7 linked regions of the Xenopus tropicalis genome follow. The protein of the gene in region 6 interacts with the protein of the main gene of each other region in a pairwise test. Links are inferred from orthologs where the notes say so. Each region holds a gene or a part of one and is shown on either strand. Other genes may lie near its edges.

Evidence for each region.
Region 1: the proteins of tle5 (region 6) and nudt22 interact in binary tests that used the Homo sapiens proteins (3 or more experiments, as listed by UniProt). The two-hybrid records come from large-scale screens. The link is inferred for Xenopus tropicalis from reciprocal best matches to the Homo sapiens genes TLE5 and NUDT22.
Region 2: the proteins of tle5 (region 6) and frs3 interact in binary tests that used the Homo sapiens proteins (3 or more experiments, as listed by UniProt). The two-hybrid records come from large-scale screens. The link is inferred for Xenopus tropicalis from reciprocal best matches to the Homo sapiens genes TLE5 and FRS3.
Region 3: the proteins of tle5 (region 6) and parvg interact in binary tests that used the Homo sapiens proteins (3 or more experiments, as listed by UniProt). The two-hybrid records come from large-scale screens. The link is inferred for Xenopus tropicalis from reciprocal best matches to the Homo sapiens genes TLE5 and PARVG.
Region 4: the proteins of tle5 (region 6) and scnm1 interact in binary tests that used the Homo sapiens proteins (3 or more experiments, as listed by UniProt). The two-hybrid records come from large-scale screens. The link is inferred for Xenopus tropicalis from reciprocal best matches to the Homo sapiens genes TLE5 and SCNM1.
Region 5: the proteins of tle5 (region 6) and smad3 interact in binary tests that used the Homo sapiens proteins (3 or more experiments, as listed by UniProt). The two-hybrid records come from large-scale screens. The link is inferred for Xenopus tropicalis from reciprocal best matches to the Homo sapiens genes TLE5 and SMAD3.
Region 7: the proteins of tle5 (region 6) and sdcbp interact in binary tests that used the Homo sapiens proteins (3 or more experiments, as listed by UniProt). The two-hybrid records come from large-scale screens. The link is inferred for Xenopus tropicalis from reciprocal best matches to the Homo sapiens genes TLE5 and SDCBP.

What each region holds. Positions count from the first base shown.
Region 1 is NC_030680.2:35,524,990-35,529,214, forward strand, and holds the start of nudt22 (nucleoside diphosphate-linked moiety X motif 22), read right to left. Parts: upstream 2,801-4,225; 5' UTR 2,785-2,800; intron 1,547-2,784; coding exon of another isoform or gene 1,542-1,546; coding exon 981-1,541; intron 1-980. UniProt on the Homo sapiens protein: Hydrolyzes UDP-glucose to glucose 1-phosphate and UMP and UDP-galactose to galactose 1-phosphate and UMP. Preferred substrate is UDP-glucose.
Region 2 is NC_030678.2:70,891,270-70,894,769, reverse strand, and holds part of frs3 (fibroblast growth factor receptor substrate 3), read right to left. Parts: intron 3,403-3,500; 5' UTR 3,380-3,402; coding exon 3,320-3,379; intron 2,887-3,319; coding exon 2,700-2,886; intron 1-2,699. UniProt on the Homo sapiens protein: Adapter protein that links FGF and NGF receptors to downstream signaling pathways. Involved in the activation of MAP kinases. Down-regulates ERK2 signaling by interfering with the phosphorylation and nuclear translocation of ERK2.
Region 3 is NC_030679.2:4,331,979-4,335,478, reverse strand, and holds part of parvg (gamma-parvin), read left to right. Parts: intron 1-1,177; coding exon 1,178-1,239; intron 1,240-1,407; coding exon 1,408-1,476; intron 1,477-3,500. UniProt on the Homo sapiens protein: Plays a role with ILK in promoting the cell adhesion and spreading of leukocytes.
Region 4 is NC_030684.2:137,909,132-137,913,240, reverse strand, and holds the start of scnm1 (sodium channel modifier 1), read right to left. Parts: upstream 2,801-4,109; 5' UTR 2,706-2,800; coding exon 2,655-2,705; intron 1,809-2,654; coding exon 1,738-1,808; intron 1,615-1,737; coding exon 1,526-1,614; intron 969-1,525; coding exon 871-968; intron 1-870. Other genes in the region: lysmd1 (lysM and putative peptidoglycan-binding domain-containing protein 1), read left to right, coding at 3,216-3,386. UniProt on the Homo sapiens protein: As a component of the minor spliceosome, involved in the splicing of U12-type introns in pre-mRNAs. Plays a role in the regulation of primary cilia length and Hedgehog signaling.
Region 5 is NC_030679.2:117,414,539-117,418,038, reverse strand, and holds part of smad3 (mothers against decapentaplegic homolog 3), read right to left. Parts: intron 2,239-3,500; coding exon 2,026-2,238; intron 628-2,025; coding exon 490-627; intron 1-489. UniProt on the Homo sapiens protein: Receptor-regulated SMAD (R-SMAD) that is an intracellular signal transducer and transcriptional modulator activated by TGF-beta (transforming growth factor) and activin type 1 receptor kinases.
Region 6 is NC_030677.2:114,622,611-114,626,759, forward strand, and holds the start of tle5 (amino-terminal enhancer of split), read right to left. Parts: upstream 2,801-4,149; 5' UTR 2,531-2,800; coding exon 2,498-2,530; intron 991-2,497; coding exon 893-990; intron 1-892. UniProt on the Homo sapiens protein: Transcriptional corepressor. Acts as a dominant repressor towards other family members. Inhibits NF-kappa-B-regulated gene expression. May be required for the initiation and maintenance of the differentiated state.
Region 7 is NC_030682.2:116,370,505-116,374,587, reverse strand, and holds the start of sdcbp (syntenin-1), read right to left. Parts: upstream 2,801-4,083; 5' UTR 2,698-2,800; intron 1-2,697. UniProt on the Homo sapiens protein: Multifunctional adapter protein involved in diverse array of functions including trafficking of transmembrane proteins, neuro and immunomodulation, exosome biogenesis, and tumorigenesis.

The sequences.
Region 1 (4,225 bases), on a different chromosome or scaffold from region 6:
CTGGAATCGCTTACCTTGTACCCCGGGCTGGTGCCCCTGTTAGGAGAAAACCGCACCAGCCCGGGGCACCTGTAGCTATGCGCTTCCTCCTTCCGCGTTCCTTAAGCCTTAACTGTGAGTCAGGCGCATGCGCAGTAGAGTGAAAAAGCTGACTTCTCTGTTAAAGTTCAGCTTCTCACTCTACTGCGCATGCAAAGAAGGAAGGAAAAAGCGCTCGCTGCTACCCCAGGCTGGTGCTGTTCTCTCCGTACAGGGGCACCAGCCCGGGGTAAAAGGTAGGCGATTCAAGTCACTTGGGGGTGCCTGATATTTTGGCACCCCCAAGTGTCTTAGCTTTTCCTTCTCCTTTAAAGGAGAACTAAAGCTTAGCAAAGAATTAACCAAGACACGTTACACCAGATGTTTTGCGCTTCTGTACCACATCAATCTATGACAGATAATTATGATAAACAAAATTAATATTCAGTAGATAAAATGCAGCAAGAATCTTTCACAAATGCACATATCACCATTCCTTAGTGTTTAGAGGACAAAAAATAATAGCAAATAATTCTATGAAACGTATAATATTTTCCCATGAAGTACCATAATATTTTTCTCTTTTAAAAAATACAGGTATAGGATCCGTTATCCAGAATTCTCGGGACCAAGGGTATTCCGGATAAGGGGTCTTTCCGTAATTTGGATCTCCATAACTTAAGTCTACTAAAAAATCAATAAAATATTAATTAAACCCAATAGGATTGTTTTGTATCCAATAATGATTATTTATATCTTAGTTGGGATCAAGTACAAGGTACAGTTTTATTACTACAGAGAAAAAGGAAATCAGTTTTAAAATTCTGTATTATTTGATTAAAATGGAGTCTATGGGAGACGGGCTTTCCGGAATTTGGAGCTTTCTGGATAATGGGTTTCCGGATAAGGGATCCCATACCCGTATTTATTTCCTCTGACTCTGAATTCTTGCCCCTTCATACCTTTGGCTCAGGGTGTCCACCTGGAATATCAAGCAGCCCTGGTGCTTCTCCAACTCTGTTGCTTCTCCTCAGCAGCACAAATCGGCCATCACTGCACTGCAAAGCAGCTCCTACTCCCAGTGGCTGGGCTAGGTAAGCCTCTGGGTCTCCATGTTCCCTACCACCTCTCTCCTGCAATGCCTTTGCATTACCCGACCAATTGGTGCCCAAGAAGTCTCTGTACGAGGTAAGAGCAAGATGGAGAGTTAGCCCACCCTGCTCATCCACATCAGACTCGGCAGGCCTTATGTGATCTCCTATTTCTCCAAGCCTGTTCTCCCGGTTGGTCTTCTCTCTTCTTTGATTTAACTCTGCTTTCACAGAATGAAGCCTAAATTTAGCCCCATTGAAGACCCATGGCTGCTTGCTTTTTCGCTCCTCCCATTCCAGCAGAATTTGCTCCTCCAGAGGTGGGGGCAGACAGCGCCGTTGATAGTGAGGTGATAGTTGAGCTCGGACTCTGCGCTGGGGGAGCCCCTCAGGACAAGGGCTGCAGTAAAGGATGGAAATTTCTGGATCCATGGGGGCTGGAGAGTAAATGAAGAAGAGTGTTAGAAGATACATTTACATGTAATGTGCCTCTTATCTGATATTCTAAATAATCATGGGTTGGATTTGAACAAAATGATGACGGAAAACTAACAGATCTATGGACCCAGCCAGGCAGGGGACCAAAAAAATGTTTTAGAGGGCCAGTCACCTAGAACCCTGGGGCCTGTAAGTGGACTATGCAGAACATTAGGCCTTTTATAGCCACTAAATTTATCCAACTACAGTTGCCATCTTTTCTAGACAAAAGCATAATTTTTACTGGCCTATCTCCATTTTACACTGAGGATATAGGATTATGTATAACCCAATAATTCTATAAAACAGCCACTACTAACATATTGAAAACCATAAAATAAAATTATCATACAATGCTGGTTATTTAGATATATTGAGCTGAATTCCTGACAGTTCTCTTTTCACTGGATGCCCTCAAATAAACACCTGAATTATTCTTCCCTGTGTGGTTAAGTTGTGTGCCTAGCACATGTGCAATGTGACAAAGCATTGGGTTTGCCCAATCCCATATCAGTTGCACAGTAGATGTATTTGTTGACCAAATACTTTGTCTGTTGCCCCCCAGTGGTAAGAATTTAAATTTTTTTTAACAGATGAAGGTACACAGCAGGGACAAATGTCAAGGCCTTCGCCTAGCATAGAATATATTTATTTATTTATATGTATTATATGTATTTTTGTAATTTGCAGGCCCCTTTCAGCACGATTGTTCTGCATAGCTAGACACCTTATTCAGTTGAATTCCACCCCCCCCCCACACACACACACACACAAACGCATTATATAGAATTATTTCTATGCAGGCATTGCCTTCTGACATTCCTGTTATTGTGCCCAGATATACATGGTGTAGATACAGCACTAGTCCAATCTGATGTACTGTAGCCAAATCTCACACACACTGTATATTTGCATGAGGAAGTGCTGCATTTCCAGTTCATTCATGTATACACACATACAATTACCAAGTGCCATACCAGTGCCATCTCTCTGGAAATATTCATAGTACCAGTGCCATCTCTCTCTGAAAATATTTACAATACCGGTGCCATCTCTGTAAATATTCACAATACCAGTGCCATCTTACACACTAATTAAATTCCCCATGCATCTGTAAAATACATATCTTAGCCAAAGACCAAGCCATGCCAGCCTCATCTGCCAGCAGTAGCCAGAAATGCCCCAGTGCTAGTCCCACCTCACAGACACAGTACCTTCTCTTTCTCTTATCCGCATGGCTCTCTTTAACAGGTCTGCTTCTGCCTATTCTGATACACTACAGTCATTATATGGCCCTTGCCACACCCCCTTTTCACACATCAACAGGAGTTCAGGAGCGTCACTTCAGGATCCAGTGAAACCAGCCCCTCCCCGGCCCTGACTAATTGGTGCACAATGGGGGGGCGGCATTCTATTATTCCAATGAATTCACTCTCCATTTGTACTCTGTAAAGTATCACAAATCAAATAAAACAGTGTACCTTTCTGTCTGCCAGTCTTTCTATATCCATCTCTATGGAACAGTCTGTGTTGCTCCTATCTATATACTTCCATATTCATATTTTATATACAACAAAAGTATAGATGCATTCTTTGTAATCTCTCCAGCTAAACCTGGTGGTGGAGCTGAGAGGGGGACCCCTTTTCTCAGATTTGCAGTCACCCCTCGGCCACTCTCTGCCCAACACATGTACATTACATTAGCTGTACTGTGCAAGCACTACTCAGGCAGGAGATGAGGCGATTGTTGGTTATTTAGTGCAGAAACATTTACACAGCTATTTACAAAGATTACACATGATACACAACAGTCCCTGCCAAATGGAGCTTACAATATATGGTCTCTTTCACATTCACATGTACTAGGGTCAATTTAACCTGCCTGTACATAACGGGAAACCTGTTAACCAGGAATTCTGAATTACAGGGAGGCCACCCCCCATAGACTCCATGTTAATCAAACAATAACAAAATATCTCCTTTTCTCTGTAATAATAAAACAGTACTTGTACTTGATCCCATCTGAAATATAATTCATCCTTATTGGGGGCAAAATAATACTTTTGGGTTAATTAATGTTTAGTGATTTTTGTACACCTAAGGTATCGAGATCCAACTTAAGTAAAGACCCCTTATCCGGAAAATGCCAGGTTTTGAGCATTCTGGATTGAGAGATAAATGCAACACCCAGAGGGAACCCAGGGAGAACATAAACTCCTTGCAGATAGTACCCAGGCTAAAATTGAACTCCAGCACTGCAAGGGAAAATTGAGGAACTTTTTTTTTTTTTTTTTTACAGGGGTGCCTGGCGATTTCCCATTACACCACTGGTTGGCAGCATATCAGCCTGTGTATAGCACCAGATATCAATTGGTTACATCTGAAAATCTACTCTGATGAGGACCATATCGGAGCATAGATGGCAACCTTACCAAACAAGCAGATCTATCAGTGTGTGGCCAGCTTAGCTCTATTTCAACCCTTTGATAAATATGTGGCGTTCCCATTGGGACCATGTGCTGAGTCAGCAGATCTCAGAGGGAGCTGTAGTGACGCAAAGTCCCTGTCACACCGCATTAGTGCTGAAGTACAATGGGCAGTGAGCATTTGGCTCTGTGCTCCCCCTCCCCTTCCTTGGA
Region 2 (3,500 bases), on a different chromosome or scaffold from region 6:
TGCTCTTGTCCAGGTCCTAAGGCAGCAAACTATACTTATTTTACTTTACAGAGGTGGTAAGATCATCTAGAATATGCTGTGCAGTTTTGGTCTCCAGTACTTAAACTGGATATTACTGAATTAGAGAGGGTCCAAAAAAGGGCAACTAAGATGGTTAAAGTAAAACTACACCTCCAGAATGAATACTTAACCAACAGATAGTTTATATCATATTAGGTTCCCTATTAAAGAATCTTACCAAAGTGGAATATAAATAACAGTAAATATTACCCTTTTACAGGTTTTCCCTTGAACCCCCACTTTGTGATGGCCTGTGTGCTCCATCAGAGATCAGATCACATGACAGGAAGTAATGCAGCTCTAACAGGAAGAAGTAATGACAGAACTTTGCCTATTAATTGGCTCATATGACCTAACATGTGTGCCCTTGGTTTGTTTGTGTTCGTAAATCATATGATCCCAGTGGGCGGCCATTAAATGGCAATTTTCTATTAAAGATTACTCAATGACACATACTACTTAAAAAAAACGTATATTTTTATGAAAATTTTTTGAAAATGAAGCAGGGTTATAGAGACCTACATTGTTTGGGGTACAGTTTTCTTAAAGGGTATGGAAGGTCTCTACACTAGAGAAAAGGGAGCTAAAGGGGGGATATGATAAGCATGTATAAAAAATATATAGATATACTAATCTCTAATGCTTTATAAAACAGTGGGTTCTCCCAGCGGAAACAATGGCATCCATTCAGATTAGAAGAAAGGAGGTTTAATCTAAATATTCAAAGGGACAAAGGGAGTAGGAGAGCATAGTAGGAATAACATTTGAGAGACGTTGAGGAAGGCCTAAATGACCTGACTCTAACCTAACGGCACAGTTTGGGCCTACAAGAAAAGGATTTTACGTTAAGTCCAAAATCTCCTTTTCTGTCAGGGCACGTACTAAAGCGGTCCCCTATAGTGTGGGTATTTAGTCCTGGTGGGAAACTGCCACCTGCAGCACCTTATGTCCGTAGGAGGCCTGTGCTCAGGTGGCTACCTGCAAACAGTAAAATTTCAGCCTTATCTGATAAAGCTTACTTAGTTTTTACCTTTTTTTCTCCTTTAAGGACTGGATGAAGCAAGCCCTCCTTTTTGACTAAAAATAAGGCTGAGTAGAATCCCTTGAATCTTTGCTGCAGATGAACCTCTATTATCACTCTGTTTTGTAGTCGCAAATGGCATTCTTGAAAGACTTTGTTTTCGGTGGATTGCTGAAGGTATGAACCTGTACCGAGGAGGTTTGTCTGTGAATGGGTTTCTGTTACCTTCCTGAATTATCGTTAGGACCCTGGGGTCTATAATGTGGTTTGCCATATATCTAAAAATGCACTACCCTGGTGTCATGCTGAAGAAGACTCCACTGTTTCTTGACTGTTGTGACCAGGAATTTTGTCCCTTTCCCTTAGGTCTGTTGGAGGTTTGGTTGTTCTAAATGTCTTTAATGGATAAAAGGAGTGACCTTGTGATGAGCCTCCTCTAGAGCTCTTGGGTGTGATGTAAGTCAAGTCTCAATTTGAAAGAAATGTGCTTTTTCCGCCCGAGACCTCTGAAGTTATTTGCTTAAGGAAAGGGCCAAATAACTACTCTCCTGGAAATTTGAGTCCCAGGAGTCTAGATTTGGGAGCAGTGTCGCCACAGTGCTCTCCTGGCTATCACTATATTGTATGCAGATTGAGCTGCAAATTTAACTCTATCCATGCCAGCCTCAGCTATGAAGTACAACGGTGTACTGATCTTCTGCAATTCTGCCACCATATCCTGATCGGAGACTGGGGGATTTCCAAGCAGTTCCTTGCACCAGAAACTAGCGGTTCAATGGATGCTGTAGCTTGAGAATGTGTGGACGAATGCTTAAGTAGTGTTGTCTCTATTTGTCTGTCCATCAGGTACTTGAAGACGTTGTCATTCTGCTTGTAGGGTGGTATGTTCGGAGAGAGACTATGGAGTCAACTTTTGGTGCCTTGTCCCAGAATTTAACAATTTTTATCAGGAACAGGATACGTGCAGCAGAATCTTTTCATCAGAGTTATCCTGCGGTCTGGTTGTGTCCACTCTGTGTCTATGATCTGTTGGACCACTTTAGATATGGGGAAGGTTCTGGATCTCTTAGGTTGTACTCCCAAAACGTTGCCGGCTTGCTGCTACTGTCCGTCACTCTGTATCTTGTGCAATAATTCTAATGTTTTGAAGGTGTACTCTTACGTGAAGGTTTAGTGGATTGAGCAATAGTAGTTTGTATAATGGATTCTCAGGGGATTCTCAGGGGATGACCGATTTAATCTGACCAGAGTTAAACTGCATTTTCATGTTTTGGACAAAATGAAGACCCCCCCCCCCCCTTTGATCCAAAACCACACTGGGCTATGTCAATTCAAAACATTATTAGTAAATGCCTTACTGAGCGTGCAGACATTATTTCCCCTAAATTTACGCTACTGCTTGATGTAGTTATTGTCTGTCAACAGTCACCTAAAAATGCAGTCAATGGTATAATCTGTGGGGCACAGGTGCACGGGGTATGCAAATTACTGTTTACCGTAGATTATGTTTAGCACTAAAAAACACTATTTTATCCACATATACCATTTACATATCACATGGGGTATAGGCGTTTTTTTAAAAGTCAGGTTAATGCTTTTAATCACATTAGAGACATACCTTGACCAGTCTGACACCTTCGCCCACTTTCGAAGGAAAAGAGGTTAGAGTCATAGCCATAACGCCGTAAACAGAGGTATGGCCATCTCACAGCATCACGCTTTCGGGTGTGAAGGACCAGTTCAGTTTGTGTTAGTTCCATGACCCCTGAGCCCAACTCTGTTCCCTCATCATCCACGTTGGTGACCTGTCAAGACAGAATTACTCATAGTTACATAAAACATAATAATATAATGGGTGAGGCTGTAAAAATGCACATTATATCAACATAAAACTTTTTGTTCAAATAAGACCAGCTTAACTGTTGATGCAGAAAGGTTAAAAAAAAAAAAAAAAACCACAAACACATCACTTATGCGCCAGTATAGTAGAGAAAATTTCAGACTTCACGGTTCATACATTAAATCACTCTTTTCACATATAAAACCTCCTTTTTTCTAATTTCAATGGATGCCTGCCTGCTGGAAGAATCTAAATTTTGTAATATATATTAGAAAGTTGCTTAGAATCAAAGACACAGAGTGGTAATTTTTTTCTCCCCAAGTTTTTTTTTTTTTATTATGCAACATTATATATGTGTCTACAAGCTCTTTCACTAGTATCTTAGCTGGTATACTTACCTTAAATTTTGTGGGATGATCGTCTGGGAGACCATCTCGACAACTGCAGCAGCTTCCCATGATGTCAGCATATCAGGTGACCTCTTAAGGAAAAAAATTAATTGAAATCCAGTATGGAAGACAACAGACCTCAGACCCAATAAACCTCTGAAACCGATTACACTACAATTTGTCAAATACA
Region 3 (3,500 bases), on a different chromosome or scaffold from region 6:
GAGCAGTGCGACTGCATATAAAATGCACAATTACCCACCAGGAATGAAGCGGGGACGGCGAATGGCTAAGGGGCTGCTGGGTTTTATTTCCCCTTTACATCTGTCTGAGTGGATGTAGAATCACTTTGTTCTATGGAGGCGGGGCTATCTCAGCCTGCAGCTTCAGCCTACAGTCACACTCCATTGTTCCCCAAGCTGTAGGGCTGCTTTTACTGGCTGAATGGGGGCAGTGACAAAAGGGGGCGGGGCACGATGTAAACAGGGGTATGACAATAGTGTGGGTGATATCAAAGGGGGAGGGGTTACGACAGGATGGAGAGGGGAGATTGGGGAAATGAGAAAGGTTGGATTGGGGCAGGTCGAGGTTAGGTGGGTGGGGCTTAAATGTAGGGATATTACAACCATCCAAAATGGGCAGGTACTGTGGGGAAGTGGGAGGAGTTTGGACAGATCATGGGAGGGGTTTCGGATAGTGGAGCACAAGGGGGGTCAGGGACATTACCATGCATTCTGTTTCTTTGGGGCTCCAATCTACTTGGGGGCAGGGCCTATGGCCCAGGGTGCCCCGGTAGCCAATGGGTTAGTTAATAGAGCCCCATGATTACTAACAGGGCCCTGGGGGAGGGTGCCCCGGTGGCCAATGGGTTAGTTAATAGAGCCCCGTGATTACTAACAGGGCCCTGGGGGAGGGTGCCCCGGTGGCCAATGGGTTAGTTAATAGAGCCCCATGATTACTAACAGGGCCCTGGGGGAGGGTGCCCCGGTGGCCAATGGGTTAGTTAATAGAGCCCCATGATTACTAACAGGGCCCTGGGGGAGGGTGCCCCGGTGGCCAATGGGTTAGTTAATAGAGCCCCGTGATTACTAACAGGGCCCTGGGGGAGGGTGCCCCGGTGGCCAATGGGTTAGTTAATAGAGCCCCATGATTACTAACAGGGCCCTGGGGGAGGGTGCCCCGGTGGCCAATGGGTTAGTTAATACAGCCCCGTGATTACTAACAGGGCCCTGGGGGAGGGTGCCCCGGTGGCCAATGGGTTAGTTAATACAGCCCCGTGATTACTAACAGGGCCCTGGGGGAGGGTGCCCCGGTGGCCAATGGGTTAGTTAATAGAGCCCCGTGATTACTAACAGGGCCCTTTTTGGAGCCAATGGTGCAACTTATTTTATTTTCCCGCAGAGCCCGACGCGTTTGATCACCTGTTTGAGCAGAGTCCCGAAAAAGTCGAGGATGTGAAGAAGGTAATTGGGTATTAATGCAGTAACAGCGGGACGTGGTACTTACCCTTACCTTTATTGTTAAGCGCAACAAGGGGAAGGAGGTCCCTGTCCCGCAGAGCTTACAATCAATATTTCCTATGCATAGCAGTGGGGCGTGTTATTTCATTGCTAAATTTCCTTATATTTCAGGCAATCGTAAACTTTGTGAACAAGCACCTGGCAAACCTGAGCCTGACTGTGACGGACCCCGAGAGCCAGGTATATACTGAGCTAGAACCGGCTGCAACTGATTCTCTGTACTTCCTGCTCCTGGGCTGCTCTCTTTCCCATGGTCAGGGAGGAGGTGGAGCCAAAGTTAAGCCTGACCATGGGAAAGAGAGCAGCCCAGGAGCAGGAAGTACAGAGAATTACAGCTCTGTACCTGGGTAAGTACTGGGGGGAGATTGGATTCACTTACCCGGGGGAGGGTCCTGTCTGACCATGGGAAAGAGAGCAGCCCAGGAGCAGGAAGTACAGAGAATTGTAGCTCTGTACCTGGGTAAGTACTGGGGGGAGATTGGATTCACTTACCGGGGGGGGGGGGTCCTGTCTGACAATGGGAAAGAGAGCAGCCCAGGAGCAGGAAGTACAGAGAATCAGAGCTCTGTACCTGGGTAAGTACTGGGGGGAGATTGGATTCACTTACCCAGGTGGAGGTTCCTGCCTGACCATGGGAAAGAGAGCAGCCCAGGAGCAGGAAGTACAGAGAATCAGAGCTCTGTACCTGGGTAAGTACTGGGGGGAGATTGGATTCACTTACCCAGGGGGAGGTTCCTGTCTGACCATGGGAAAGAGAGCAGCCCAGGAGCAGGAAGTACAGAGAATCACAGCTCTGTACCTGGGTAAGTACTGGGAGGAGATTGGATTCACTTACCCAGGGGGGGGGGGGTGTCCTGTCTGACCATGGGAAAGAGAGCAGCCCAGGAGCAGGAAGTACAGAGAATCAGAGCTCTGTACCTGGGTAAGTACTGGGGGGAGATTGGATTCACTTACCCAGGGGGGTTCCTGCCTGACCATGGGAAAGAGAGCAGCCCAGGAGCAGGAAGTACAGAGAATCAGAGCTCTGTACCTGGGTAAGTACTGGGGGGAGATTAGATTCACTTACCCAGGGGGAGGTTCCTGCCTGACCATGGGAAAGAGAGCAGCCCAGGAGCAGGAAGTACAGAGAATCAGAGCTCTGTACCTGGGTAAGTACTGGGGGGAGATTGGATTCACTTACCCAGGGGGAGGTTCCTGTCTGACCATGGGAAAGAGAGCAGCCCAGGAGCAGGAAGTACAGAGAATCAGAGCTCTGTACCTGGGTAAGTACTGGGGGGAGATTGGATTCACTTACCCAGGGGGAGGTTCCTGCCTGACCATGGGAAAGAGAGCAGCCCAGGAACAGGAAGTACAGAGAATCAGAGTTCTGTACCTGGGTAAGTACTGGGGGGAGATTGGATTCACTTACCCAGAGGGGGGAGGTTCCTGCCTGACCATGGGAAAGAGAGCAGCCCAGGAGCAGGAAGTACAGAGAATCAGAGCTCTGTACCTGGGTAAGTACTGGGGGGGAGATTGGATTCACTTACCCAGAGGGGGGAGGTTCCTGCCTGACCATGGGAAAGAGAGCAGCCCAGGAGCAGGAAGTACAGAGAATCAGAGCTCTGTACCTGGGTAAGTACTGGGGGGAGATTGGATTCACTTACCCAGGGGGGTTCCTGCCTGACCATGGGAAAGAGAGCAGCCCAGGAGCAGGAAGTACAGAGAATCAGAGCTCTGTACCTGGGTAAGTACTGGGGGGAGATTGGATTTACTAGAAACATAGAAATGGATCATACTGCGACTCGCTGACAATAGAAGAATAATGGGGGGGTAGGAGAGGACGGTTGCCCGTAGCTTTAAATAACCATGTGATTTCCCCGGATAACGTTCCCCTTTCCCGGAGTCGGCTGTCAGGGTGCGGGGAGTAGATAATCTGTGGGAATGTAGGCCATAACGTCTCCATGGTGCTTGTCGCCAGCGCCGGCCCTAGAGGAGCCTGAATATATAATGTACCTTATGATAAATTGCAGGGAAAGCTAATGGGTCGGGCCCGGCAGCGACATCCCCATTGGCCCGAGCGCCGGTTCCCTAAGATTCATACAAACTGAATATATAAATACATTTAAAGCAGCTGTCAAATTACCCCAGTTTATATAATGGGCTGGCTTGGAACTAGGGGTGTGGCCTGGGAATAACAGGGTGGGGCCAAAATGGGAGACTGAACT
Region 4 (4,109 bases), on a different chromosome or scaffold from region 6:
AAATAAAAAAAAGTTACTCAAAACTATGGCAGCATAGGGATTCCCCTGTACTAAGCACAATTCAGCAGGAACAGCCCCCTAAGTTTGCTCATAGCCTGTACAGAGAGATACCATAAAACTATGGCACATAGGGATTCCCCTGTACTAAGCACAATTCAGCAGGAACAGCCCCCTAAGTTTGCTCATAGCCTGTACAGAGAGATACCATAAAACTATGGCACATAGGGATTCTCCTGTACTAAGCACAATTCAGCAGGAACAGCCCCCTAAGTTTGCTCATAGCCTGTACAGAGAGATACCATAAAACTATGGCAGCATAGGGATTCCCCTGTACTAAGCACAATTCAGCAGGAACAGCCCCCTAAGTTTGCTCATAGCCTGTACAGAGAGATACCATAAAACTATGGCACATAGGGATTCCCCTGTACTAAGCACAATTCAGCAGGAACAGCCCATTAAGTTTGCTCATAGCCTGTACAGAGAGATACCATAAAACTATGGCACATAGGGATTCCCCTGTACTAAGCACAATTCAGCAGGAACAGCCCCCTAAGTTTGCTCATAGCCTGTACAGAGAGATACCATAAAACTATGGCACATAGGGATTCCCCTGTACTAAGCACAATTCAGCAGGAACAGCCCCCTAAGTTTGCTCATAGCCTGTACAGAGAGATACCATAAAACTATGGCACATAGGGATTCCCCTGTACTAAGCGCAATTCAGCAGGAACAACCCCCTAAGTTTGCTCATAGCCTGTACAGAGAGATACCATAAAACTATGGCACATAGGGATTCCCCTGTACTAAGCACAATTCAGCAGGAACAGCCCCCTAATAGCCAATAGCCTGGAGAAAGAGAAATCTGCCCACCTGTTCTCCTGCATCTTCTGCCTGTACAAAATCAAAATGGCGCCTCTTCTGGATCTCATTGTTATGCTCCAGCTTCTTGCCGTAATACCGCTGCTGACCTGTAGGAGAGTTGAGAGGGAGTCAGCGGCCCATTGCACAAATATGTATTATAGACATGTGACCAGTCATTAAAGGGGATGTTCACCTTTGAGTTAACTTTTAGTATGATATAGAGAATATTCTAAGACAATCTGCAATTGGTCTTCATTTTTTATTATTTGCAGTTTTCCGCAGCTATGTGGTTGCTAGGGTTCAAACTACCTTAGCAACCAGGCAGCAGAATGAATGAGAAACTGGTATATGAACAGAAGAGGGCCTGTATAGAAAGATAATGGGGGAGGAGACAGAATAAAACCTGGTATTGGGGCAGAGACCAGTAGCTACAGGCTCCACATTAAAATGGCATACAGGAAATGAAGTCATAACAGGAAGTTAAGTCACAAAGTCAGACAGGAAGTTATAAATACAAAAATAAATAATTAATAAATCAACAGGGGAACATCCCTAGGCAAGTCTTCGGATCCGCAAATGCCAGACAGGACGTTATGTCAGAAATCTGGAGAGGAAATGAAGTCATAAGACAGGAAATGGATCTCTTTTCTAGTCAGTAACTTACCGGCTAAGTGCTTCTTCCCGCTTCTGTGCACAGACAACATATCGATGGTACTGAAGACGGGCCGGTGATGGCACACGGTGCAAGCGTAGCTGTTATATACACAACACAGTTACACAGAGGGATAGGCAGGGGCCCCGGAATATAAGGGTATATAGAAGCAAGCCCTCCCAGGGGCCCACACCGAGGGAACCAATCAGTGGAGAGACCCTTACCTGCCATTTTTAAGAAGCAAAGCCTCATCCTCCGGGATGTAACTGGCCAGCAGATCCGCCACTCGCCTCTTCTGTAGGGAGACAGGAAATGGGATATTAAATTAACCCTTCCCCCTTACAACTGCACCCTACTCTGCCACAGGCACCCTACCCACACCCCAAACCAAAACCACAGACACCTTACCCTTCCCCACCCACAGGCACCCTACTCTTCCTTACCCCCACCCACAGGCACCCTACTCTTCCTTACCCCCACCCACAGGCACCCTACTCTTCCTTACCCCCACCCACACGCACCCTACCCTTCCCTACCCCCACGCGCCCTACCCTTCCCTACCCCCACCCCCAGGCACCCTACCCTTCCCTACCCCCACCCCCAGGCACCCTACCCTTCCCTACCCCCACCCCCAGGCACCCTACTCTTCCTTACCCCCACCCACAGGCACCCTACTCTTCCTTACCCCCACCCACAGGCACCCTACTCTTCCTTACCCCCACGCGCCCTACCCTTCCCTACCCCCACGCGCCCTACCCTTCCCTACCCCCACGCGCCCTACCCTTCCCTACCCCCACCCCCAGGCACCCTACCCTTCCTTACCCCCACCCCCAGGCACCCTACTCTTCCTTACCCCCACCCACAGGCACCCTACCCTTCCCTACCCCCACGCGCCCTACCCTTCCCTACCCCCACCCCCAGGCACCCTACTCTTCCTTACCCCCACCCCCAGGCACCCTACTCTTCCTTACCCCCACCCACAGGCACCCTACCCCACCCACCCACAGACACCCTACCCTTCCCCCCACCCCCAGGCACCCTACCTTTCCCTACCCCACCCTTCCCCCCACCTCTAGACACCATACCCTACCCTTCCCCCCCCAGACACCCTCCCCTCCCCTGTATGGGTATCACCCCGTACCTTTAGAACGTTCAGCTGGCTCAGATCATCCCCATCCCGTTTAAACGACATAGCCCAGCCTGTAGCGCCCCCTTTGAGAGCTGTAACCCTGCGCGGCCACCGTACTCCTTTCTGCGGCCTTACGGGAAATGTAGTTTATTTCCGGAGAGGAGGAGGCGGAGTCCGGGCATTATGGGACTTGTAGTTCCGTGAGAGCCGCGAATCCTGGGGCAGAGCCTGTGCTGCACTACTGCTCCCGGCATGCCTTGCTCCTGTCACCCCTGCCCAGCAGTGAGCTGTGTATTATTGGGTACTTGCCTGTGCTGGGCAGCTGGAAGGGCTGTGGGTCTGTGCTGGGGGTATTGGGGCAGCTTTTAGCCCAGCCCAACCCCCTTGGGCAAACCCCTGTCAGTGCTGTCATGTGATACTAATGAATTCTCCCTTTTTCTTTCAGTCTGATTGAATTAGTAGCCCAGCATGTGACTGAGGGCTGCAGGGACTCCATCTCTGCCTCCACTTCTGCCTCCACCTCTGCCCAGTCAGACAATGTATAGTTAACTTGCCCTTTAGAGCTCACAAGCCATGGCATCCAACTCTGGGCACAGAGACTCTGGGCTTCTCCATGGAACCAGGACCCGTTCCTATGGCAGCCTAGTCCAGTCGCCCTATTCACCGGCCCGGATCCGCAAACTGGAGCACCAGGTCCAGCCCGGGGACACACTGCAGGGCTTGGCACTCAGATACGGCGTCACGGTGAGTACGGTACCTTCCTATTATAGGGTGTAGGGTGCTGGGAGTTGCAGTTTAGCAACAGCTGGAGACCCCTTGTGTATAACTGGTAATATCTAACAGCTGTTAGTCTCATATGCCCTTTGTACAGTTCTCTACTCCCCCCCCCAGGGGACATGCCTTACCTGCCCCACCCTAGAACCAACCCCCCAGGATGTTATCAGGAAGGCATTGGGTTCAGATACAGCCGGTGGGCCTGATAAACATGAAGGGAAATGAAAATATGGTGAATTTGGTGCACGACACTGTCAGGGCACATTCAGTCCTTATACAAAGTCTCCATTCTCTGGGTATCCGGGATCAGGCTGCATCCTGGTTCTCTTCCTATCTCTCTAACCGCTCCTTCTCTGTCGCTCTTACTAACCAATCCCCTACCCCGGTTCTGCTTAGTGTGGGGGCTCAGCTCAGTGTGGGGGTTCAGCTCAGTGTGGGGCCCTTTGCTTGGCCCTTTGCTGTTCTCCCTGTACACTCTCTCTTTAGGAGACCTTATTTCTTCTTTTGGTCTTAAATATCACTTCTCCTCCTTTCACCATGACTATTGATGGCATGACCGTTAACCCTGTTAATTCTGCACGCTGCCTTGGGGTTATCTGCCATTTTTCCTCTGCAATATTGCCAAGATACGCCCCTTTCTTTCACAAGTAACAGCTAAAACACTAATCCATGCCCTTATCCTTTCTCGCTTAG
Region 5 (3,500 bases), on a different chromosome or scaffold from region 6:
CATAAGACATTACTGCATCATGCCTAGTTATTAAAAAAAACAGTGACAGGTTCCCAGATTGTGGGGCAGCAATTTATAGTTGGTGTGAAGAAATGGGAGTTATGGGGGGCCGCAGAAAATAGAAAACTGGGGCAATCTAAAGCTCATAGAGAGTGAGCCCTCAGGTGACGGTTTTAAGTCCTCAATTTTGTTGGAAGCTAGGCCTGAACCCTCATTTAGGATGATATTTGGTGTGAGAGCATATTCTAATGTCAATCAGACTAATTCAAATCATTTGGAGTCCTAGAAAGAGCAACTATTGCATCAAAAGAGGCCAAAATGGTGCAAAAACTTGGGAAGGGATATCTGTAAAAGCAGATTTTTTTTCTTTTCGATTTAGCAAACTGGGTTAACACATGGAGTGATATGTTGTGCCTTCTATTGGGGAGTTATACAAGACCTTACATAAAGTCTACAACATTCTGTATTTCCGAAAAAACAACACTGTACCTGGTGGAATCTTGCAGACCGTGGCAGGATGCCAACCGTAGCGCTGGTTACAATTTGGGGACTGTACAAATATGGCATTGTCACTGAGGCACTCAGCAAACACTTCCCCTCCGATGTAATACAGCCGCACGCCTCTCCCTACAAACAAAAACATTCCCATGAGTACACAGGAAAACATGGCAGGAAGTGAGACATATGGTGCGGTTATGGATCACTCAGAGACAAAGCTATAATATGCCCTCCAGTAATGAGCTAATACACCCCAAACCCTCTTCTGACAGCTCTCTCTAAATAAAAGAAAACAAGAATGCAACAGTTCAAGGTCACAATGTCCTATACTTTATGCACTGTGTGTGTGAAATGGACACTGTCCAAAGTCATTGGTGGCACAAGCCTGAATGTAAAAAACACAATGAAAACTGCTGCCACTTGGCCAGTTAATACAGCAGATATTTTGAAAGCTATATTTAACTACATATATTTACATAGTGAGCAACTGTCATTTACTAAAAGGCATGTATAGGATATCTGGGAAGTGGGGATCTCGCCGCTGAGAGGACGCAAGCAGAGAACCTCCTGTGCATGCCGAATAGATTTTATATTGTGGGAGGTCCTCTGCTTTCACTCCAGAATGGAAAATTTTTGGTAACCGCTGACATAACTAGAAGAGAGAATTCTTCCAGTTGCTTTGGCTACAGACTTGATTTTCTTCTCCTGCAGAAAGTAAAGGGGAAGGCTTACAGCAGCATAAAGCTCAGGGTGGTGCTTATCCCACAAACAGCACCTAATAAAGGTGATCGGGCCCCCTGACTCCACGTCTGTGCACAAATACAAAGCTTACCAGTGGGGTGCAATAAGTAATGAAGACAACATGTACAGGTTTTTCCTCCAATTGTGGCATCATAGAAAAAAGGCTGAAGCCAAATGCAGTCAAAATGCAAAATTAGGTACCCACATTTTATTTATAATAAACTAGGTGCAATGTGATGGGAGAACAATATGTGCCTTTATGCATCTGCCTTAAACTTTAAACAGCCACTAAAATGTAATTCACCTAAGAAGGGCGAGGATTACACAGTCGGCACACAACATACTTTGGTTAGACTGAAAAATAACAAGAAAAATGAGCCAGGATGGGCAATCCAGATGCCATAAAATTACGACTTCTAGCATCCCTCTGCTGGAAGTGGGAGGCTGTTGAAGGGGAACTGGAAAATGTAACTGAACATCTGGAGGGCCGCAGGTTGCCCACACCTGTATTACATGATTTCTGTTACACACTAAAGGGGAAATGTAATACAAGACTTAAGTTGGCCCAGGTTCATTAACCCATAGCAACTAATCTGTATAAATGCTGGCCAGTAAAAGCTACCTGCTATCTGGTTGCTATGGATTACAATCTGTGTCGCTCAAAAGGGAATGAACTCTTAAGAGCAAGTACTACTCCTGAAACCTTATGTGAAGTTAACAGATACTGAAATCCACTGTTTCTCAATTTCTCAATGATGCATAAGCCAATGTAAACCTCTGATTTACCAATGTGTCTCCGTGTCATTTCCACAGCCGCATTCCGATTTACATTGGACAACAGTCCCAGGCAGAAACGTTCGGAGTTGGAAGGATCGGTGAATCCATCCACTGTCATGGAGGGTTGGGAAGCGTGGAAGGTCTCCCCCACACGTTGGTTAAGCTCATAGTAGGAGATGGAGCACCAAAAGGCCGGCTCGCAGTATGTAACAGGCTGCAGGTCTGCAAAGAGTCAACAGAGGGGAGATGATATACATTTCCTATATTTCACTACATTGACCACAGTGTGTGTGAGAGAATGTGATAGGGGATTTAGACTTTAAGCTCTCCCACTGGGGCAAAGTGCTGCACAATATGTGGGTGCTAAATAAATAAAGAATAATAATAATAATGTTTCAGAGTCAGTAGAAGGTGGCAGTTTAACATCAGGTAGATGCCAGTCTTTTTGCTATGCTACAATCAGAGCATGGAGCAGCGCCAGACATTTGGTTTAGCAATGCAACCCATGCTCACTTCAGTGACACAGCTATGACTCTCATTCTACGAGGTTTCCCTACACATCAAATCACTGCCGGAAGGTTACCCCTGTGTGGATTTGCTTTCCAGCAAATAAAAAAACACACACAGAGAAATTAAATCCTCAGTTAATTATTAAATGTTGCAGTTACCCCAATGGAAACGTGTGCATTTGTGCCAGACACGCAGTTTTGCAGAATGTTTCAGTTCAGAGGGCAATGAAAACCATCTGCAGAAAGCAGCCTGGTGTCTCTTCCTCACAAGGTTTCAGCAATGAGATACTAAAATAATGGGAAATACTAATGAACACATGGATTCGCTCCTCAGAAGTGATAGCTTTCTGCTAGGGGAGGAAGAGTGCTCCGAGTTAAACAATGACCCATCTCACTCCCTTAGGGCTGCAACCTCACTGATAAGGACAGGGCCCTTACATACTAAGGCCTGGCCCCCTGCCAATCCAAACTGCCTGATTTAAACCCTGCATCCGTCCAAGTTTCTCGGGATTGGGAGGAGAGCACTCAGGGGCATGTTTATATTCATATAAAGTGCTATCATAATATATTACTCTTACAGAACTGCTGACAATTCACTTTATTGGAGAGTATACATGTAAATAAAATACTCAATGCAGTTATAGGAGCACAAGCACAACCACCCTTTGCATTACATGGACCACTCTGTCCCCCTTAAATCAATAGAGCCTAAATGCCTCTAAATACAGAATTAGAACTCCCAACATTCTGCAACCACTTTATGTTTTTCCTATTCCATGCTGCTCTTTTACTAGGGCTGGAACAGTTTCATATGTGAAAGAGTATGAACAAATACCACATAAATGCACATATGCTAAAATCCAGCTGCAAATCAGTTCTTCGCTTTCTGCATCATTTAAATCCTTGCAGGGGAGGAGGGACTAAAATATTGATGTCACAAATTGTAGCAACTTCTTCACAGCTTACAAACAGCAT
Region 6 (4,149 bases):
TGCAGTTGGACAGTACAGGTATTCAGCTATCTGGAAATCTGTTATCCAGAAAACTCCGAACAACGGTAAGGTCATCTCTCATAGGCCCCATTTCCATTTTCTCTGTAATAATAAAACAGTACCTTGTACTTGATCCTAACAAAGACATAATTAATCTTTATTGGAGGCAAAACAACACTGTTGGGTTTATTTAATGTTTAAATTTTGCTTTAGTGAACTTAAGCTATGGAGATCCAAGTTACAGAAAGATCCCTTATCCAGAAAGCTTCAAGTCCCAAGCATTCTGGGTAACAGGTTCCATACTTGTACAGACTTAGCTGCTTATACTAAAAGAATAAGGGTTCTTAAACACTGGCATTTTAGTGTAGGGACCCAAATATCAGTATATCATGTTTAAGGGCCAGGTTATATTAAATTTATGTCAAACAAGTTAGCTACAGGTCATCATGTATGTGTCCTAACAATACTATGCCATAAAAAACATAAAATGTAGTGTTTGGCTAATGTCGCATGGAGCCAGTCAGTCACCTGCAATAGATTTCTGCTACCATGGCTGACTACTGTGCCAAAATGCCTTTCCACTGGCAAGCCAAAGCGATGCGTATAACTTTCCACTGGCGACTCCTAACTCCTATTGTTGCAGGTGGAAAGGCATTTCGGAACAGCTAGTTGCCTGTGGTAGCAAAGATCTATAGTGGGCGACTAACTGCACCATTAGCCTTAAGGTGGCCGTACAGGGGCTGATTAAAGCTGATGACTTGGTTCCTCCCGACCTAGTCGGCAGCTTATTGGCATGTGTAAATTCTAGATAACAATCGGCAGGCTTGAAAACCTCATCAGACAAAAGGTGCATTGGCGTGGCCCTCAGTGTCAAAATGAAGCAATTTCCTACCTGTGATACTGTGCCTGCAGCAGTTGAAATTCATCCTTAATTCTATCACATGAATCTGAGGTTGTGAATTTGAGTTGCTGGGGCAAATGCGAAGAGCCCTAAGGAAAAAAAAATCATAATAGAAATTCCATGTGAAAACATTTGCAGCCTTAATGGAATCCACAGGACACTTGGCTAATTAGTGGTTAAATTAAAGGCATAGTATACCCCTTTAATGATCACCAGTCCATTGAGAAACCTCTGTATAATGAGCTACTCATTTCAGAGTCTAACAGGTTGCATCAAGGGGCAGGGAGGGGTTTATTTATACAAAGGGCTTCTCAGTGGACTAGTAATTTGTTTTGATTGTGTTCCCATGAGTCAGGAGGTAGAATAGGGTAAAAGAAGAGTTCTACAACAACTTTTGTCTTTGTTTGCCACCTCACCCCTTTACACCTAAATGGCTTATGCAATATGTATTATTATGTTAAGCTAAAAATACCTTTGGAAACATTAGCTGCCATATCAGTTAGATATCTGCTGGGCAGGTTTGAAAATATCATAAAATAAGGGCCACTTGGTTGTTTATACGCTCAGTTCCTAATCAACCAAGTATAGGCCCCTATAATGATCTGATCAGCGGCCATAAAGCCAAACAAACCTTGGTGGCCAAATCACAAGATAATTCACTTGTTTGCCGACTTCACCAAATGAGTGGATCTTTCAGTGTATGGAAGGCTTTAAGCACATAATACATGGCTGCAGCAAGCATAGTTATTACTAATAATTAGCTATTTCTGTTAAGTATATGTATCCCATTTCCAAGGGAGAAGGCAGCAACTAGAACACTGCTTGGTCATTATTTTGACAATTGGAGGCTCACTTTTCTGTGGTACAGTACATGATACATGAATATCTCAATTATGCACTGCCAATATGGTGAGGGCCACATTTGTCAGGCACCTCTGGTGATTACCTTGGACCCCAGGCTAATACTGCTCTTCACTAAAAAAAACACAGTGGCCAGGATACTATTTTAGGGTGCACCACCATCTTGCTTCCTTGCTGCTGCTCTGGGTCATGTGCAATACAGCAAAATATTTGGCTTGCAGCTTCAGTCCTGATTTTGCTCTATAGCATGTGCTCATTACCCAGGGCAGAAGTAAGAATTGCATGGACAGAAAGCAAGCTGGCAGCACTCCCTACAATAGTGCCCCAGGGCAGTGCAATTTTAAGCACAAAGGCAACTCCAATGGGGGGGATTGAGGCTAGTAATTATAATTATTGGGGAGGGGATGCCTACCATTGCCCCTTCCAGTAATTTCTTGTCCTTAACATGTATTTATAAAGAGGCAGCACATTGCACAGCAGTGTGTAATACTGGATATCACCTCGAAAATATAACAATGCTACCAGTGCTCTAGACGGCAAAGATGGATTCAACAGAATTCTGAAACTCTACTACAACACTAAGCCCTTTCGGCTCCTGCAACGGCAGGACTTCCTGCAACAAAAAAATCCTACCCCCATATTGCTTTTAGCGTCTCCAGCAGATGAACATGTTCTATACAAATATAACACACAATAATACAGTAGTACATTCAGTTCTACCCCTCGCCTTCTCACCGAGTGCCGGCTGCTGCTTTGAGGAAACATCATATCCCACCCGGCCCCGGTATGTACGGCGCTACGCACAGGCTCAGTATCCAAGGCCCGGCTTCCTGTGCGCTTTATCCAAGGGCTCAGTGCACTTTGGGAAGGCTTCGCTCTGCTTCTCAGCCGGCACTACTGCTTTGGGCCCAGATATGTGATCCGCAAACCCCAGATGATCTTCTGGCCGCTCTGTGTGCTGTCAACCAGGACCTCTACTGTCCCCTTGGCCTCGTCCCTTCTTGATCTCTAACCCGGTAATGCTCCCCCACCCCTGAGGCTACGGCCTGCCCTGCTTCACTACACGATCTCCTAGCTCTCTACCCACTCAGGAGCCTTTTGTTTAATGGCGTCTGTGCTTAAGCAGATATATGGCTCCCTCTACAGGTCACAGTTTCAATGATTCAATTTCCCATGTAAGGATCCCTTGTCCTTTTAGCTGATTTTAAAATTCCTGAAAAAATGAAAGCTTATCAGTTACATTCAATGAACCCTGCTATACAGACCTCAGTGGGAGCATCATTTCGCTAATTTTTAGAGGCTGCCTTATTTTAATCTCCCTTAAGAATATTTTTTGTCTCTGTATATATCTAAGGCTTTTACAACAATCATCTGAACTGAAGTAATTCAATTTTTACCAGTGGTGAAAGTAGATGTTACTAAGCCCTCAACATATTCATTAAAGGGGCACCCAAAATTTCTGGAGAAATTGTTTAGTAATTATGGCCCCACTGGGCCCTCAACATTTCTGGCCTGCTACAAACTCCTGGCTGCACAGATTTTGCTTCCAGACACTCACACATGATGTTCAGTTCTTGGTAATTATGGGGTGCAAAAGATAAGACACTGATGGCCTCGTTTACTAAGGGCCTACAGCACCATGTTGTTCAACCTTCACACCAATGCACTGAGCATTTGCATCTGATCAGTTTATGTTTAGATGAACACGGTTTCCCAATGGCACACTGGTGTAACAATGCAAAATGCTGACAAAAACATGGAGCCTTGCAGAATGACATCTAAGGCTAATGTCCCATGGAGCAAGTTAGTCGCCCGCGATAGATCTCGCTACCGCGGACGACTAAGTGCTCCAAAATGCCTTTCCACTGGCAACTATAGGAGTCGCTGGTGGAAAGGCCTACGCATCGCTTTGGCTTTCCCAATTCGCACAAAGTTTCCTCCTGCAGGCAACTTTGGAAAGCCGAAGCAATGCATAGGCCTTTCCATCGACTCCGATTGTTGCCACTGGAAAGGCATTTCAGAGTGATTAGTTGCCCGCAGTAGCAGAGATCTACAGCGGACAACTAACTTGCTCTTTGGGCCATCAGCCTTAAATGAACCAAATTATTTAACTAAAACAACTGTCTCACTGTAAATGTGATTTTGGGCCACAGTAAAAATCTCAACTTAATCAAGAAAAGTTTAAAGTAATAGGACAGCAAACAATACAGTACTAAATTCCTCTCTGCACCTCAGACTTATTTAGGCATTATTACAATATAGTTCTATATTGGACCATCATTTAGTCAAGAGGAAAAGGCTCAGGTTTTTTGAGAGATGAGAATCAACCAAACTCTAGCTTCCTGAAGCACTCAATTTAATGGTTGCACACAAAAAGTTGAGATTGT
Region 7 (4,083 bases), on a different chromosome or scaffold from region 6:
CCAGCCACAACCCCCCCAACCCCAGCACCAGCCCCAGCCCCAGCCCCAGCGATGCGTCCTAGCGACGTCGCGTGCGCGCCGACGTCACATGCGCGCCGACGTCACGTGCGCACGGGCGCAACCCGGATGTAATTGGATAAAAACTGCAGGAGGCGCGCATACCGGTATAGCGGTATGTTCAAAAATCATATCGTTTTTTTTTCAAAAACCGGTATACCGGTTAAACCGGTATACCGCCCAGCACTACTTAGGTTTACAAAGCGGTCTGCAAATCTTTATCAGCAGTTTTCAAAATTTAAAGGAGAAGGAAAGGCTAGTAAAGAGTTAATCTCAAGCTGCAGGCATACCTTCAGTTGTCTCAATAATGCCCTTAAGTCTCCCCACATTTCTCCTGTTCAGATGATCAGAAGCCAAACAGGAAGAAAAAACCCTAAGCTGTGTAAAGAAAGTTCCCATAATGCCTCACTCCTGCACAGACACCGAGACCACTGAACATGCTCAGTTAGTAAGACTATGAGTCAGCTTCCTGCTGATTGGCTCAGATCCACATTCCTAAGGGGGGTTGTGAGTTCTTAACATTCTTGAGGGAGGGGGGAGAAGGAGAGAGCAGAGAGCTGAAAGCTGCGTGTCTCTGGCACAGGAATTACAGACACAACTAATCTTTTTTCAGAGAAGTCAGTGCAGTGTTTCTGTGAGTACTTATGGCTGTATTTACATAGACCTTTCTGATAAAGCTTACTTAGTTTTTACTTCTCCTTTAAGACTGTCCCCGTAGATAAAGAGCAGTGACTGGGGGGTGAACCTGAAGGCCAAGGTGGGATTTAGGGAAAATGCCTAAATCTTCTCCTAGATCAGTGCTGTGCAACATTTTCTTGGAAAAGTATGGCCACGACCATAATGTGACTAAATGACTAGCGTGTCCCTATAAGATGACGCCTGGGACAGCTAAACTAAGCTGTGTCCAACACAGCTGCTGTATGGTAAATGTCCTGTGTCTACAACAGAGATAGATTCAAGTTCTGGTGGCTCATAAAATAATAATAATAAAAACAGAGTAAGTAAATTTAGAGTTGTTAATGGCTAGATTTAATTATATGCGTCACCTGTAATTAGCACTGACCAGTTGATTATATGTGCTGATTATGAGAGACACAAGTAAATATAAATGTCGATTTACATTTTCGCCGGTGGGATGGCATTTCGGGGAGATTAGTCGCCCGAGACACAGGAGATTTGTTGCGGGCGACTAATCTCCCTGTGTGCCAGAGCCCTTAGAATCCGAACCAAACCACTGAAAAAAGCTACAGATGCAGAATGTGGCCTTCAGATGGACATATACATACACAAACCTGCATTCACAGATATATAGTGCCACATAATGTTTCCCCTACACACACCCCCAACCAAATGATCACGTGACCAGAAGCATGCACCCACAATACTGATCCTGACTCACATTAAATAAAGTGTGCTAACCAACGACGTTCAGCAGGCAGGAAACCCAGCCTGCAAATTACCAGTTTGTAAATTCCACTGATGTAGGTGCTTATTAATAGAAATAGTACTTTTGGCATGGCCACATTCATGTAATTCTTTAGGCTGCCACCTTACACGGTCAACGGTAAAAATGTCACAGAAAAAAGTCACTTTAACTTGTGATCTTCCTCCATTAGAGGTGTCTGTAGCACCTTCCCTAAACTCATCTACACAACTGTGCCCAAGGTCTCTCACACTTCCTCCTGTCTCTCACCTTATTTAAAGACGATGTTAGTGAAACCAAAGGCCTAAAACACATTTTTTTAACCCTACATTAATGTCTATACCAGATAATCTGGTGTTTAAGAATGCCGTTCGGTCACATGACATGGCTTAGTCCTCCCAAATCCCTTCTGGGTATTGGGGACTCAAAATAGGCAAATGGCTCAGCGGAAACAAGATTTTAAAGGAATCCAAATCACCTCACTTGACCTCTGGCCAATGCCATGGCACCTATTGCTCTATGGATGGTCCCACCATTAGAAATAGCCACACAGGAGAGCGCTGGGCAAGCGTATGTAAGAAATAGAATGGCAAAGTTAGTGAATAAAGAGGCCAAAGTGAGTGAGACAGAAAAGGTGGATTTGTATTACTTAGTCATATCAACCAACTACCCTCCTGTGTTTCTCAAAAAATGTCTATATCTTCTATTCCCCCTTTATGGCAGCTTTTAAGACCCTCAAATGAACATGGGGCCCCAATAAATACGCCCTTTATGCCCCAACTGGAGCTGGTCCCCTAATGGGGCGTAATCACTGGCATAACCAGACATCATTGGGCCCACAGGAAAATTGATATTGGGGACCCCCTAAAATTAAATAAGAATAAGCCCTTCACAAACATTCAGTGAAAGTGTTTATGAGCGGCCCACCCGGCCTCAGGAGTCGCACCCCCCCCCCCCCCCCCCCCTTCCTTAATAGTTCCACCCACGGCCCGTACTACCGCCCAATGAGCTGCCGGGGGGCTCCGGCTCCAGTCACACCTGGGGGACACTGAATGGGCACACCTGCCTGGGAAGCACAACAGCGATGGGGGGGGGGGGGAGAACAAAACTGAGTTGTATGGACCTAAGGGAGGATAATAACCACCCTCTGCCTTGCTGCTGGTGGGACAGCCCAAAATAATGTTTCTGTGAAGAGAAGCTGTAAGGGGGACACTTACCTGCCGGCAGGAGAATAACTCGAAGTGGAAGCCCTTCCCGTTAGTTGCTAACTAGTCCTCCCCACAGCTGCCTTCTCCCGACCCGTCTCTTCACAGCACTGACGTCACGGCACGGAGATGGCGCTGACGGAAGACAAAGGCAGTCGCACACTCGGGCAGAGCAGGGGAGAGCACAGGGAGGAGGGGTGGGCGGGGCTAAGGCGGGAGCAGGAAGGAGGGGTGGGCGGGGTTCAAGGCGGGTGACGTCATTTTCCGAAAAGTCGGCCCCGTGACTGTTGCCAAGGGTAACGGGAAGTTGAAGACTCCGGGGTGGGGTGTTGCTATTTTAATATTCCCATTTCCTCCATTCTTGTTTTCATGAGTTAAACACAGAGAACACAGTCATTTGTTAGGAGCTATCCCCTACCTAGCCGGGAAAAAGTGCGACCCCGCCCCCCCAAGATTGTAAAGGGAAATTTATTGTGCCGGGCCCGGCCCCTTTTTCTTCTGGGTTTTTATTGATATGTAATTTGTATGTTTTATACCATTCTGCTATACAGCACTGCAGAGTGTGTTGGCTCTTTGTAAATGTTTATAGTAAAGGGGGAATGAATGTCCATCACTAGGGTTGCAGGCTGGCTAGTAAAAAATATATAATTAATAGGGAAAACAAAAAAATATAGAAAAGCTGGTGTTTTCCCAGAAAAAGTGGGAGCCCTACCCCTCACACGCATTCTAATAATAACAGGACTGACACAGGGCTGATGTGCCTCCCACACTAACCAACATGCAGTGCAGCTTCTCTCTGTCCCAGCTCCTATACCTAGCCCCTATATACAAGCCTGGGGCCCATAACAAATTTACTGGCAACATACTTGTCTGTAAATTTATGATAACTATTCCATCCACCCCAGGCCTGCCTCCCATCAGCCCTTGCAGCTTCCAAAGAGACTAGCTCTACTTACAAAATGGCCTTCCAGTTCAGCCTGACTACCCTCTTGCGCCATAACCCTTTCCCTTTATGTCACATCCCACTCCTTTGTGCCCACCCTGCTCTCTCATAGCTCCGCTCCTGCCATTAAAATAACTCTTCAAAGGTGGCAAAGCTATCATGGATAAGGGTTGCTACCTTTTTCTGTGGCTAGTACTAGCATTTGGGTTGGTGGGCGGGAAGTGACATTTGAGGGTGTTGCAAGGGTCAGGGAAATGGGCAGACTGGGCAGGGGAAAGGTGCATGGAGCCAGTAAAGGTGGTCATACACATGCAGATTGTAGATGCCGATATCGGTCCCTTGGAAATCGGCCAGATATTGATCGGGCAGGTTAAAAAATTCAGTTGGATCAGGGACCGCATCGGCTCGTTGATGCGGTCTGCGAACGGATAGTGCCTAATACAGACGTTATAATT